Linked DNA regions of Stegostoma tigrinum. The protein of the gene in region 1 purifies or fractionates together with the protein of each later gene. This does not show direct contact. Links are inferred from orthologs where the notes say so. Each region holds a gene or a part of one and is shown in the gene's direction. Other genes may lie near its edges.

Evidence for each region. Proteins that work in one complex are often made in the same cells at the same time.
Region 2: the proteins of pdcd4b (region 1) and eif4g1a purify together in Homo sapiens (affinity purification with western blotting; 3 studies listed by BioGRID and IntAct, with this or other methods). This does not show direct contact. The link is inferred for Stegostoma tigrinum from reciprocal best matches to the Homo sapiens genes PDCD4 and EIF4G1.

What each region holds. Positions count from the first base shown.
Region 1 is NC_081373.1:2,184,856-2,192,574, reverse strand, and holds the start of pdcd4b (programmed cell death protein 4b), read left to right. Parts: upstream 1-4,716; 5' UTR 4,717-5,362; coding exon 5,363-5,405; intron 5,406-7,719. UniProt on the Homo sapiens protein: Inhibits translation initiation and cap-dependent translation. May excert its function by hindering the interaction between EIF4A1 and EIF4G. Inhibits the helicase activity of EIF4A. Modulates the activation of JUN kinase.
Region 2 is NC_081367.1:44,939,524-44,947,328, reverse strand, and holds the start of eif4g1a (eukaryotic translation initiation factor 4 gamma 1a), read left to right. Parts: upstream 1-4,799; 5' UTR 4,800-4,882; intron 4,883-5,020; 5' UTR 5,021-5,084; intron 5,085-7,805.

The sequences.
Region 1 (7,719 bases):
TAGGGGTCATGAGTTCAAAGTGAGAGGAGGAAAGTTTAAGGGAGATATGCGTGGAAAGTTCTTTACACAGAGGGTGGTGGGCGCCTGGAACGCGTTGCCAGCGGAGGTGGTAGACGCAGACACGATAGTGTCTTTTAAGATATATTTGGACAGGTACATGGATGGGCAGGGAGGAAAGGGATACAGACCGTTAGAAAATAGATGACAGGTTAGACAGAGGATCTTGATCGGCGTAGGCTTGGAGGTCCAAAGGGCCTGTTCCTGTGCTGTAGGTTTCTTTGGTTCTGAGTTAATTATTTCCGTGACTATATGGGCTTGTTTACTTAGTTTGGATTCTTCTACTTATGGCACATTTAGTTCAAAGCAACACTGAGTGAACGCAAGATAACACAGTGTGGAGCTGGAGGAACATAGCAGGCCAGGCAGCATCAGAGGAGCAGGAAAGCAGATGTTCTTGGCCATGAAAGATGTGAGCAGTGCCTGCATACTTTTCTCTGATGCTGCCTGGCCTGCTGTGTTCCTCCAGCTCCACGCTGTGTTATCTCTGACTCCAGGATCAGCAGTTCTTTCTATCTCTGAGAAAACACTAGATGCTTTCAACTGCCTGCAGCAAGGCCAAGACCTGTCTGAGCATGAGGAATTATAATTCCCAAACAATGCTCAAGCGCAATTTGGAAAGTGGGTGATGAAAAAGCCAATGTGAAATGCTGAGTTAATTATGGAGAATTTGTGTTGCTAATAATCTAGTTGTTTAGATTCAACAGGATTCGAGCACAATATCTATTTGGGAAATGGCAGTGGACAATGAAGTAATTTGTGAACAATTGATAGGTATCCTATAGGTCAGCTCTTCAATTGAGGCTTCACAGTAGGCTGTTGCAATAAAAAAATTCAGATGAGATTTTAACCATTTTTAATTAATTTGCTGGAACATAAATCAGGCCTGGGTATTACAGTCAACTGGATATTTTTCTGTTTGAAGAGCAGGACATTAACTCTCTGGCATGGTTGCCCATTGGCAGATAAAATCTGGCTTTCAATGTCTGCTGAATACTCTTCAATGGTACCAGTGGACATTGACAGGAAATTAAAACAAGAAAGAAACAGCCTGCATTGGCATATTGCCTCTCAATGTAGCAACTGGATATCCCAAAGGCTGCACAATCAACACAGCAGTGCTCAACAGTAACATGCCTGAAAAAGGGATCCAAGAACGGAAATAAATTCACCCTTGGACATCAGCTCAAATAAATAAATAAATTGATAAATCAGCTCACTTGCCAGTACCAATGAATTATCCTGATGCCTATCAAGGGTTTGCAAGCCTGTAGTGAATGTACAGAGATAGGGCCAAGATAGGAACAAAGGAAAAGCAGGGATAACGTGGAAAAGTTAAGGCAGTTTGGGGAAAAGTATGAACCAGTAATGACCTGCAGTTGTTTCATGTAATCAGAAGAGGTATGCTGGATACCATAAAATATTGTGAGTTTTATTCTGACTGCCTCCTGTAATCCTGGTTAGGGATATTATTTGGGTGTGACCTATTGTCAAAGTTTTCAAGCACTGCTCATAGAACATAGGACATTACAGCACACATTGATTTAAGGTAAGAGTTTATAGCAGACAGAAGTAAAACTTCTTTAAGCAAATGGTGGTGGCAAGCTGGTTCACACATCTTTTGGTTGCGAGCAATGTAATAATTTGGATACAGCAAATAATAGTTGATGATTATCATAATCGGCCCTCGATGTTGTGCTGACCTGTCATACCCATTTGAAGCCCATAAGCCATATTCGTTAGCAAGTGAACACTCCAGCAGTGACAGAAACTGCTGGAGAAACTCAGCAGGTCTGGCAGCATCCTGAGAGAAAACCATGTTAATGTTTGGAGTCCTATGAGCTTTCTCCAGCAACTTCTGTTTTGTTTTGTTTCAGCTCAATGGGCTCAATGACTTCCTTCTGGATTGTGACAATTATGATTTTCTGATTTTTTTTGGACCAGGGTACAAACTCAAGTGGGACAGTACAGATTATCATCGTGCAACATTCACTGTTTTTCTCCAGGTACTGTCTGACTTCCTGAGCATTTGAAGCAGTCTGTGTGGTTTTTTTTAAAAATTCCAGCTTCTCTGGTCTTCCCACACCATTGAAGTCCTTCTATTTGCTGCCATTCTAGTAAGAATTGAAATCTTCTCTTCATTCTCTCAACTAGAATGGCATGTGGGAAATGTTTTTAATCATCCAGTTCAGGTTTGTTATGGCATACCTCTGGAGCAGGCAGAATTGGGACCCCAGGCTCATGGCTCAGAGCCAGGGACACTACCACTGCGCCACAACAAAAGGTATGTAAGACACTTGCCTTAATGAGTCAAGGCACTAAAAACAAGAGTGAGGAGATAATGATGGAGCTGTATGTAATGTTCGGCCACTGCTGGAGTACTGTGTGCAGGTCTGGTTGCTGCTCTATAGGAAGGATGTGATTGCACTGGACAGGGTGCAGAGGAGATTCACTAGGAGGTTCCCTGGGATGGAGAGATCCAGAGAGACTGGGACAGACAAGCAGCCGGTTTAGAGCAGGGAGGGCTGAGGGGAATCTGACTGAGGTGTACAAAGTTTTAAGGGGCACACACGGGACGGTAAGGAGAAATGTTTTCCCTTAGTCCAGGGATCAGAAACTGGGGGCACAGTTTTTAAGGAAAGGAGCAGGTGGTTTAGAGAAGATTTAAGTAGGAAAATATTTTCATCTACGGTGGTGGGAATCTGGAACTGACTGATGGTTGATGCAGAAACCCTCAAGATTTTTTTGCCCAAATGTACCTTATTCATTTTAAAAATCATCTGTAGGTACATACAAAGTTTTTAAATCAGCTGTGTACAGTCTTTACAGAGAAAAAGCAAAACATCAGAATTTTGACATTTCTCACAGCCTTCCTATAGTTACAAAATCAAAAGTATTTGCAAATCATGCAGAAAACTATTAGCATGTATTTTGAGGCAATGAGAGGGTGTAAAAACATTTTGAGATGAATAACACACACACAGACTAAAGGATTACAGGCCTGGTGCTGGAGAATGAGATGTCAACCACAGCAGACCCAGTCACTGTGACACCCTCCCTAAAACCAAGTGGAGTATTAACCGGCACCTCACTAAAGAATTCCGTTTGGTTTACTTCTCCTTTCCTGAGGAACCAGATGATCCAAATGATAATTACATCTCCCAATGTCTGACAGGCAAGGCATTGCACGCCTGACATCACATCTGAGAAGGGTGGCAGCATGAGTCCTCTGAGGATGTCCTATAAACCAGGAGCCAGCACTGAGTGCACCCAGCCATGGATCCTAGCTGGGAGACCAAGATAACAAGGTGTAGAGCTGGATGAACACAGCAGGTCAAGCAGCATCTTAGGAGCAGGAAAGCTGATGCTTCCGGCCAAGAACCTTCATCAGAAAAGGGGAAGGGAGAGAGGGTTCTGAAATAAATAGGGAGAGAGGGGGAGGCGGATCGAAGATGGATAGAGGAGAAGATAGGTGGAGAGGAGACAAAGAGGCGGGGATGGAGCCAGTAACGGTGAGTGTAGGTGGAGAGTTAGGGAGGGAATAGGAAACGTCAGCTTTTGTGCTCCTAAGATGCTGCTTGGCCTGCTGTGTTCATCCAGCTCTACACTTTGTTATCAGAGATAATGGGAACTGCAGATGCTGGAGATTCCAAGATAATAAAATGTGAGGCTGGATGAACACAGCAGGCCAAGCAGCATCTCAGGAGCACTTTGTTATCTCGGATTCACCAGCATCTGCAGCTCCCATTACCTTTCGCTGGGAGACCATCGGGCAGGACCTCCAAGGCAGGTGGCAGCACTGAGACTAGCCTCGGATTGAGGGGGAGCCGAACAGTACTTGGCGTTGATTGGTCGTTGGGCCGGCCGCCGTCGAATGGACCTGGCTGCCATTGGTCGGACCTGAGGCGAAGGTGGCGAATGAACAATGCTGTTGCTAGCCACGTGTCCCAAGGGGGGGGGGGAACAATTCGAAGCGACTGGAAGGGGGGTTGCGCTCCAGAGGAGTGCCCGAGCCCGGGGGTAGGATCGCCGCCGCCTGAGGATTCCCGGAGGTCGGAGAGAGGAACTGCCGCAGGATTCCAGTCACTGGGTCATTCTCCTCCCTCAGGGGCTCCGTTCAAATTAAACAACCGATTTGTTTTCCTTCAAGTGGGAGGCGCTGAGGGGGCGGGTGTGGGTTCAGGGGGAAAGATACAGGCCCCGGGGGAACCATCGTCCCTTAGACAACCCTTCACCCCCCACACAGGGTCAAAACAACCCCCACACCCCGTCAGACAATCCCTCCCCCCACAGGGTCAAAACAACCCCCACACCCCGTCAGACAATCCCTCCCCCCCCCACATAGGGTCAAAACAACCCCCACACCCCGTCAGACAATCCCTCCCCCCACAGGGTCAAAACAACCCCCACACCCCGTCAGACAATCCCTCCCCCCACAGGGTCAAAACAACCCCCACACCCCGTCAGACAATCCCTCCCCCCCCCCACATAGGGTCAAAACAACCCCCACACCCCGTCAGACAATCCCTCTCTTCCCCCCCACAGGATCAAAACAACCCCCACACCCCGTCAGACAATCCCTTCCCCCCCCCCCACAGGGTCAAAACACCTCTTCTCCCTCCCCCCCCCCCCGAGACAACCCCCTTCACCCACACAGGCACAAAGCAACCCATAAACCCCTTTCCCACAGGGACAAACCCCCCCCGTGAGAAAACTACTCCCCTCCCCTACAGGAACAAACCCCCCCTACCCGAGACAATTCCTTCCACATCCCCTCAACAGTCACCCACCCCACCCACTTCCTGAGTCAAAACCCCCACCCTGTGAGACAACTTGTCTGTTCCCCCATCGGGACAAAACCCTCCCCCAACAGGGACACCCCCCACCACCCCGAGACAATCCCTTCCCCCCCACCCCCATAGGGATAAAACTCCCTTCCCCCACAGGGACAAGAAACAGAGACAAAACCCTCCACCCCGAGGGGAACAGCCCCCATCACCGTATGAAGACCACCCCTCCCAGATACAGCGATCACCTTTCACTTCCTGAACCGAACCAAACCCACACACCTTCTCTCCCCCCCCCCCGAGAAATCGCTCCCTTCGCCCTCCCCGAGGCAGCTCTCCGCCCACTCTCCCATTGGAAATCAGTGCCTCCGCCCACACTCGGAGACAACACTCGCTGTCTCGCACTTCCTGAGACTCCAGTTCCCCCTCAGCACACCACCCTGTGAGCCCTCGCTGTCACTCCCTGTGAAAACACACACTCCACTCCCTGAGATCTAGGGCTCAGACCTTCCAGCAACATGGCAACAGAGGCAGAGAGCAAATTCAGAAACTCTGCAGCAGGTACTGAGACACAGGAGGTCTGGATGTTCATTGCAATGGCTTTTTGAACGCAGAGATTCTATTTAAAATGATTTTTTAATAACAAGTAGTATTGTGATCACGATGTGCAAGGCGAATATCTATTTTGGGACTGAAATTCTTAATTTTCGTGTGCTTTAACCCTCATTGCACCTCTTCGAATAAGTTTTTTGTTTTGTTTTCAAATGCCGCGTGTGTTGCCATATTTCTTCCAGAAGTACTTCCACTTTAAAAGTTCCAGGGAAGCATCTTGCATGGCCACGTGCTGTGATGGAGTGTTACTGTTCTTTAGTGTGTTTCCTAGTCAGTGTGTATTTGGTGGTTTTGAGAATTGAATTTCTTCAGTCACTGTTTTGTTTCGGAAGGTATTGATGTTCTTAACCCTTTAATCGCCGCGATGATGCACACGTTTACTTAAGTGTTAATCTAGGATTTTAAGATTTAACGAGTTGGTAATTTCTCTCATCACTCCTCCCCCCTTCCAAAACAAAACAAAAATTGGCCTTTTTTTTCAAGAATTAAAATGAACTTTGTGCACCACAGGGGATCTTGCATTATATATCAAAGTTGTTTGTGGCATTTGTGGGAGGAAAGCAACCTTGTATTGAAGAACTTTGCAGTTTAAAGTAAAAGTCTGCTGTATCTGTTATGTAATACAGGTTGCAGTAATTGCCGTGATGGCTGTTATGCTTTTGGTTGAAGGCGTTAGTTCTCCAGAATATTGTATTTTGTCTTTGAATAATATCACGCGACCTTTTTATCGTAAACTGGAGGAGGTAAATTGGTCTCCCCTCTAACCATACAGTGCTACTTCAATAATGCGTGGTAATATTGGCCCAATTCCTGAATGTAGACTGGAATTTGCAACTATCTGAACCAAGTTGTTTGTTGTAATTGAGATTCTTTTATGTTAATAACATTTTATTTTAATATATTGTGATAATGTTGTGATTGGGTGAAACAGATCGTATGATGTATTCATGACATGTATAGCTCTTGTTTCCCAGCAGGTGTAGCAACTCATGTCTGTCACTGCTGGACAAATAATAGGACTGATGGGTTGAGGGATTGATCTTCTAACCATTTTAAAATGAAGGACAGGCATGGCTCTTAAAGCTAATTTAGTTTTGTATTCTGTGACAGAGGGTCATGTCTCTTGTCAGTCTTTTGCACTTCATCATGTGCTCCCTGTCTGCTTGCCTGGCATCGAGCCCAGTTAAACACTGGAAATTTCAAGACTGTAATCTTCCATTTTCACTGCTTCCCAACTTCATGTATTTTAGTACCTCCACACCTGATTGTACCAATGCTTTGCACCAAGTTCCATTCATTTGTTTCATTTCCTAACATTTATATATTGTTCTGTAGTCCTAAGACCTCTGAAAAAATCTCACTGATTAACTCCCTGTGTGATGCTGTACCCATTACCTCTATTGTTTATTCTATCTTTACAGCCCTTCACTAACATTGTATTCTTCTTGAACGTGCCTTCATGGCTGAGCCTTTGGCTTTTTAGACCCTAAATTCTGGATTTTCCTTTCTAAGCCTTTTTTGTTTCTGCCTTCGCCATCTTCTCGTGCACTCCTTAAATCTTATCGGTTTGACCAAGCTTTTTGTTCCTCACCTAATATTGACTTTTCTCTTTTTATCCATTCATTGGAAGTGAACCTCACTGGCTATGCCAGCATCTGTTGCCCATCCCTGATTTCCCTTGGTGGTAGTGATGAGCTGCATTGTCAAGTCGCTGTAGTACATGATGTTCCGGTACACGCAGTGCTGTTAGAGAAGGAAATTCCAGGATTTTACCCGAATGAATGCTGATGAATTTCCAACTCTCAATGGCCTGAGGCTCAAAGGGGGACCTGCAGCTGATGATCAAAGGTGCTCCTATGTATTTTTTTGTCCTTGACCTCTATTACCTAGAAAGATGCAGATTTGGAAGGAGCTATCACAGGAACCTGGGTGAGTTGTTTCAGTGCGTCCTGTAGATGATCCACACTATTGCCACTGTGTTACAGGTAGTGGGAGTGAATCTTTGTGGTGGTTTTTGTTAATTGCTGTCTGAACCGGCTTCTGCACAACACCATATTTTGTCAAGAGATAAGAGTGTGGAGCTGGATGAACACAGCAGGCCAAGCAGCATCTTAGGAACACAAATGCTGATGTTTTGGGCCTAGACTCTTCTTCAGAAAAGGGGGAGAGAGAGAGGGGGAGGCAGATAAAAGATGGATAGAGGAGAAGATAGGTGGAGATGAGACAGAAGTTAGAGGCGGGGATGGAGTCAGTAGAGGTGAGT
Region 2 (7,805 bases), on another chromosome or scaffold:
CCTTTGTGCTCCTGAGATGCTGCTTGGCCTGCTGTGTTCATCCAGCTCCACACTTGGTTAGCTTACAATTCAATTTGCTCTCTGAGTATTTTGGGATACGTACTGATAGTTTGGAAATCAGGACAAACAGTACTTCGTAGCATGCTGGTACTTGTAAAGTTCCCTTGACATCAAAACATTTCAAAACCCCTGACATTGCGAGTAACTATCAGGAAGCTATTTCATTGTGAATAGCATCAAAATTTAGCATAATATTGGTGTATCACCATATGTACTTTAGGGTTGGTCATTGGAAAGGGAAAAGGTACCCTATGTTGGGGTGCCAGCTGCAGCTAATTGTGAATACTTTTACACAACCTGTTCAGAGATGTTCTTATGTACCACTGTAGCAAGTGGGCACTTGAAACAAAGCCTCTTGGTTCAGGGGCAGGATACTACCACTGCACCACAACAGCCCCTGCCGTCAGTGTGTAAAGCCCTCTATCATTGTGACCTGTTGAAATGATATAATTCAGCAGAGAGTGGCCATTGCATTTTAGTCTTTCTTTTCCTGTAAGTTTGAGATACTTGTTTATTATATTTGCTTAGTCCCTGAGGATTCTGAATATGTTGAAAGAGGAATGTTGAAAAAATGCTTGCTGACAGAAATATCAATCAAAATAAACTTCTTTTTCCCTCTGTCACCATATTACAGTAGAAAAGTGAAAGACTGAATTGTTTTGGGTTAAAAATGCATTCTACACAGTTAATACAATTTTATGTTATTAAAATCATTTCTGTAGAAGCATAGCCAAAATATCAAAACTAAAATGTGCCATGACTGGCTTTTTAAATGACAATTTGTCTGCATAATTATGAAATAGATCTGAACCCACTTTTGACAGTGAACCCAAAAACAACAAAATCAATTTGGGCTGAGGAGTAGCAAATTGAGTTTAATTTGGAAAAATTTGAGGTATTGCACTTTGGAAAAACAAATAAGGGCAGGACTTATACAATTAAAAGTCGGGGCTTGGATTGTGTTGTAGAACAATGAGAACCAGGGCTTCAGGCACCTTGGTTCTCTGAAGTTTGTGTCACATGTGGACAGGCTGGTTAAGAAGATGTTTAGCATGCTTGCCTTTATTACTCAGAAGTTTGAGTATAGGGGTTGGGATGTCACATTGAGGTTGTACAGAACATTGGTGGAGCCTCTTTTGGAGTACTGTGTCCAGTACTGTTGCCCTATTATCGGGAAGATATTATTAAGCTGGAGATGGTTCAGAAAATATCTACCAGGATGTTACCAAGAATGGAGGGTAAGAGTTATGAGGAGAGGCTGGGACATCTTTCATTCGAGTGTAGGAAGCGAGGTATACTGAGTCTAGCACTGGAACGGTGAGTCCTGGAGTGGAGGTGAGGCCTTTGGGAAATGGAAGCAAGATCTCGAGGTTTGAAGCTCAGCGTGATCTGGAGACTTCGCCTGGGCAGGCTGAAGGTTGGGTGCTTGGTGGAAAGACTACAATTTGAGTACTTTATAAACGAAAACATTCTTATTCTTGTGCTGCACTTTTATATATGATTCTTTCATGTCTTTAACGCGTACTTAAGAATTCTGTCCCTAGGTACTCTGTACCTAAAATGGCACCAAAAGAGTTGACATTACAAACTTTTCACTTCATTCATCTGAGTGCACATGACAATAAAGGCTGACTCAATTCAATTCACCTTACAGAGGTTTATAAAATCAAGAAGGGTATATAGATAAGGTGAAGGCAGGTGTCTTTTCCCAAGGGTTGTATATTTCAATACTGGGGAACATATTTTTAAGGTGAGAGGAAAACAATTTTAAAAAAGACATGAGGGGCCACTTTTTCACACAGAGAGTGGTTCATGTGTGGAATGAACTTCCACAGGAACTAATGAATGCGGGTACAGTTAGTGTTTAAAATACAATTGGATAAGTAAGTGAACAACAAATATTTGGAAGGATATGGGCCAAGCACGGGCAGGTAGGTATAGTTTATTTGGGATTTGGGTTGGCATGGAATGTTTGGACTGAAGAGTCTCTTTCCATGGTGTATGACTGCATGACTTTATGGTCTTTTAGATCCTAAATGTCCCAAGCATTTCACAGGAGCATCATAACACTTGGTAAATCAGTCCTCTGTGGAGGTAGTTATTTCATTTCACGACATGCTGATAAAGCTTCTACTTAACAGAGACTCACACCTTGTATGAAATCTCAAGTGTTTTATAGCCAATGAAATTTTAAGTGTCACCAATGTTGTAATGTAGCAAATACAGCATTTAAGATACAACAAGATTCAAATATCAAAATTATAATGACCAGTTAAACTGCTTTTAGAAATGATGTTAGTTGAGGAAAGAACGTTGGCTGAGAATGGGGAAATCTCACATGATCTTTCTTCAAATAATAGCACGAAATCTGTACCATCCACCAGAGAGTTGAGTTGAGGCTTAAGTTTAACACCTCAACTTGAAGGTGGCACGTCCAACAATTAAAAATGCCTCACTGCTTCACTAGAGAACAGATCTAAGTTTTGTGCTGTAGGTTTTGGAGTAAGACCTGAACTCAGAGCCTTCACGTGGAAGTACCACCAACTGAGGCTCAATTGACATTTAAGTGAATCTTATTTTATTGTAATGACATCAGAATGACAAGTTACATCACAAAGCTGCCGGAATTGCTTTTTCTGTCCTACAAAATTATCCAAATTCATCTTTTTAGTTGAAAAAGTCTTGCAATTTTATAAAGTAGAACATACCCTAGGGGCTGCAGTATGGTATGATAAATACACTTGTTCACAAGTCTGATCACAACCCACTCATAAATATTATTCCATACACCTCACTCGTGAAGATATTCATCATGACACAGATGGATGTATCATATGATCCTTTTATATTTCTTTGCAGAAAATTACAGTACTCAGAATGTAGGAATTGGGATATGTTGATACAGGCTGCACCAAAATGTATTTAATAATGTTCATTCCTTCTTACTTAAAACATACCTGAGCATATTACATAAATAACAATTGTTTATAATTATTAACTTTTTAAAATTTAAACTATGAAGGCAGTTGAGTGACTTTATGATGTCATGAGAAAGCTGCTGACATCAGATTGGTACATTGTGACATAATTAAAAATATTTTCACTTTGGATAAGGAAACTTGTAAATAATGTAAATATGTAAATACTCCCCATTTGTTTAATGAGACTAAATTCTTGTTAAGAACAAGCAATTCCTCTTATCAGAAAGACCTTTTCAGTTCCAATGTACAGACTGTGATGGAAAAGAGTGAGAATACCTAGTTACTAACTAATCTATATATGTGTTGTAGCTTTTAACACATTATTCTGATGTACTCTGAAGATTTCTCCAGTGTCATTTAGGAGCAGTACAACCTGATATATCATTTTTGGGTTTAATCAATTACAGTGCAAGGGTGAATTCTGCGAACAATTCCTGATACAAATAAGTCTTTCTTGCCATGCTGAACTTGCTCTATGCAGAAATTGACTTCTGCACACTGTGAATAAAGACAGTAGCTACTCAGTATAATGCCCTGATATAATACATTGATTATGATCCCTTCACTAAGAGACTGAATATAACCATGTTATAATGTCTTTATAACTTGCTCTTTGCTTGTTTGATACCATTGAATGGCTCATAGTGGCTATATTGTATCATGGATAAGAGATAATGGGAACTGCAGATGCTGGTGATGGGTATAGGCCCGAAACGTCAGCTTTTGTGCTCCTGAGATGCTGCTTGGCCTGCTGTGTTCATCCAGCTTCATACTTTGTTATATTGTATCATGCATGCTTTGCTACAAAGGTTGCTGAGTTGCATATGGAACAGTGTTGGGAAATATTATTGATGCATTTTGCAAGATAATTGTAAGGCACTCTGTGTGGGGTGGGGCCTGTCATGCACCCTTACCTTCATGTACTGTTTTACACAAGTGTATGTGAACTTGGAAATTCTCATAACATGTTCTCAACTTAGTCTTTCATTTGGATCAGGACAGGTTGGGACTATTTCCTACCCATGGAGAAAAAGGGAAACAAATTGTGTAAGATATCTCCTCTGACTCTGTAATAATTTGACTTCCCACTCTGTCAGCCCACAAGCTATAGAGATTGTTTAAATTATTTTTTTTAAACAGAATTTGTATTAGCTCTGGTGAATTGTTAACTAGATTGAAAAACGCTGTCTGACCAGCTGTGATCTCCAGCAGATTTTTTTTGCATTAGCAGTTATATTTTCATATCATGCCCTTTAGATGTTTCTGAAATTTATGTTAATACTTGTCTATATCAGATTATTTGATATCACTTTGTTCGAGTCTGTGGGCTCAGAGATTCTACAATGAGCAAATTTCTACATGGCATTAGGGTGCTCAACTGAGTTTCCCTGACCTGTCTACTGGATTGTATGCGAGTTGGCTCTTCATGTTGCTTTACATAAACGTAAACTTTTACATAACGCAACTACTGTTTGTTTTTTTTCTTGTGGGGAGTGGTGTGCCGTCAGTATCTACACCTCCAAGTAATTCATTGAATATGAAGTACAGTTCCGGACATTTCTCGAAGAAATAGGATAATTTGCTCGCCACAAAACTGTTAAATTTCGGGGAGGGGCGGGGTTTGGGGGCAGGCAAGGAAACACCAGCCGGGTGGTGCGTGCATGCTTTGGAACTGTGGAAGAGAATGTGTTATTGCAACAATATTAAACCTAAGTGCTTGTGATTTAGGAGTGAATCGCGGCTGCCCTCTCCCTGGCGGTGTCACGTGTCCTTTCCGGAACCCTAGAGGCGGAAATCTCCGAAAGTAGCCGATCGTCCGGCTGTGCGGACTGAGGACGAAGGTACGCCATTACTGGGCCGCTTTTTATTATCCGTCTCCATCCTCGGCATGGAGACTGCAAGCAGTCACTGCTGACTGGCCCGGTGGCTGTCCTGCCTTCTGTGCTTCGGCCTGATTGTTTTATTTTTCTGATTCACAGGACAGAAGAAGGGAGGAAAGAAAAAAAACACTTACACCTTGAGGAGGAGCCCAGTCCTTCCCGGGTAAGGGGTGGCCTGACGTGTTTCTGCTGACACCCAGGGCTGGGGCTGCAGGAAAGGGGAGGGAAGGTGAAGGAACGGCTATATAGAGAGAGAGAGGGAGAGAAACCCCTCTCTCTAACTGGGGGGGCAGGCAACAGCGGCCTCAGCATATTCCTCCCCATCATCTCCACCTCCCGATTCCTGGGAATATCGAGTCGCTTTCAAGCCCGCGGCCGGCGCCACTCGGTTGGGGTTGGGGTTGGGGTTGGGGTGAAGGCCATAGCCTTTTAGCCCCACCACTCCCTAAAGCCCGGGTTGAGTGGCAGCCAGGCCCCAGTCTCTCTCCTCTCCCTCCCCCCCCATACTGGTTTTCCCCGGCTTCTGGAAAAAGACGGGGAGAGAGCAGGCCGTCCAGCCTGAGCCACCCCTCTCTCCCTCTGCAGCCAAGGGAGAGGAGGCCCCAGCCTACAAGAGTCTCATGTCATTTTGAAGTTTTTAGTGGGAGAGGTGAGGGACTGGCTAAAACCAAAGTCTGGGTTTTAACTTCTGTTTCTCGGTTGTGCTTGCTTTTGGTAGTAAGGCCCTTGACCATATGGAAGCTACGTCGCTGCCCTGGGGTGGAATGTAACCCCCGCCCCAGGCTCAGAGTGTCGTGGGTGGGGGGTGGGGGAGTTGGGGAAGACACCGGCCGGGCTTTGACTCTAGCTGTATATTGTATATATTAGTATTTGCATTAATATTTCTGCCGCGCGTGTGTAGGGTGTTAGCGCGTTTGTAGCCTGAGTCTGAAATGACACGTTTGTGCTGGAGGGGGAGGAGGGAAAAAGCCGGTAAAAGAGGAACCATGTGCGGCTGTTGGTTGGTCTCCGAGGCATAGCGCAAGCGAGTGAGTCACTGTCACCTCCCCACACGGTTGAGTGCTGCCGGCTCTTACTGCACAAACATCATCGCACTCCGCTGTTGCAAACTCTTCCTTAATCTTTAACTATATATAGATATTCACTCAACACTGAGGAAAGATCGCCATGTGACCATTTAAAAAAAAAGTGAGGGCTCGGATTTTTTCAAAAACGGAAGTGCATTGAAGTTTTAACCATCTTTGGGAATTACGTTTAATAAGTAGTAGCAACTTTGAAGGATGGCGTAATGGGAAAGTGTTGGAACAGATTTATTTAATTTTAAAGCTACTAACATGAAGGATACGAATAGCAAGTTTTAGAAAGTGCTGAGTCAATTCCTGTTTATAGCCCCCGATGTCTGCTTTCAGTTTGAAGACCCGATCCTTATGTTTTCGAGGAAAAGGATTGCTTTTTGGGGGTGGGGCAAGTGTGGGTAGATAGAGATAATGCATTGCAACGTTCAATTATCATTCGAGATTAAACTTACTTTTGAAACACATAGTAAGAAAGTTTATTGACTGAAATGCCCGATTGCTGCTAGCGAAACGTGTAAAAATCATTGAGCGTTTAGTTGTATTTATGAAATTGTGTTGTGAATTAATACCCAAGTTTCTCACTAAATGGTGAGGGCAAGTACTTTAGATATTTGAAATCTGCCCTTCACCACTGTAAATACTAATAATTTCTCATCTGATTTGACCCTGCCACTGAAAAAGTCTGTGTTAATTCAAGTACAAAAACACTTAGTTATCAAGTTATAAGGGGGCATATCATCAATACGATATGGGTTTTGGATTGACTGTAAGTTTGAAATGAATGCTGTGACATTTGATTTGATGTGGATGTTATGCAAAATATGGAGATGTAAAGCAGTTTGCATACATGAAAAATTAAATGATTTGAGAATGTGTGGCAAATATCAATGCATATACAAAGATCACAATAGTCACATTTCATATGACATTTTCACATGGACTCTGCTGCTCCCTGGCAGTGGGTGTGGTTTTGGTGTTCATTACAGTTTGTGCGTTTTCTCTCTGCACTGCAGTAACAGGCTGTAAGGTTTAATAATCGTCTCGTAGTGTATACATGAGAGAACGTTGTGTGTCTGGTAGAAGAAATGAGACTTCTTAATACTGATATCACAGTGTTGCCTCAGGTGTCTTCTGTTTTTTATCAGTTGTGTGCAGTCTGAGATTTTTGGAAGTGGCAATAGCCATTGGAATTGAGTCTAAATTAAAATGCACTTGACACTTGCATTTATTATGGCCTTCTATTTTGGTAAAGAACTTGCCTGAATTGATCTGTTGTCTAATTTTGTTTGGAATTAGTGTCAAATATTCACCACTGAAATAATCCAAATATATAGGTCTCCTGCATCATACCAAAGAACTTCATGCCAGGTTTCAAGTAGGCAAATTTAGATAACTCAAAATAATGCGCTACATATTTGAACAGTAGAAATAAAAGTGAGTTTAAACATTACAGCTGTTAGCAGTTCTGTTCGTCTAGTAATATATCTATCTTTTTTCCAAAAAGTGAAACAAGTTTGAAATGAGCTACCTGGTAAACAACTTGACTTACAGCAGGTCAGGCTGCATCCATGGAGAGAAAGCAGGCTAACATTTTGAGTTTCGATGACTCTTCATCAGCTCTGATGAAGAGTCAGCTAGACTTGAAATGTTAGCTTGCCTTCTGTCCATGGATGCTGCCTGACCTGCCGAGATCGCCAGCATTTTTTTGTTTTTGTTCAGATTCCATCATCTGCAGTAATTTGCTCTTAAACAACTTGATTAGTTGGTTAGCTTTACAGCGTTTTAATTGAAGTCTACATAATCACCTG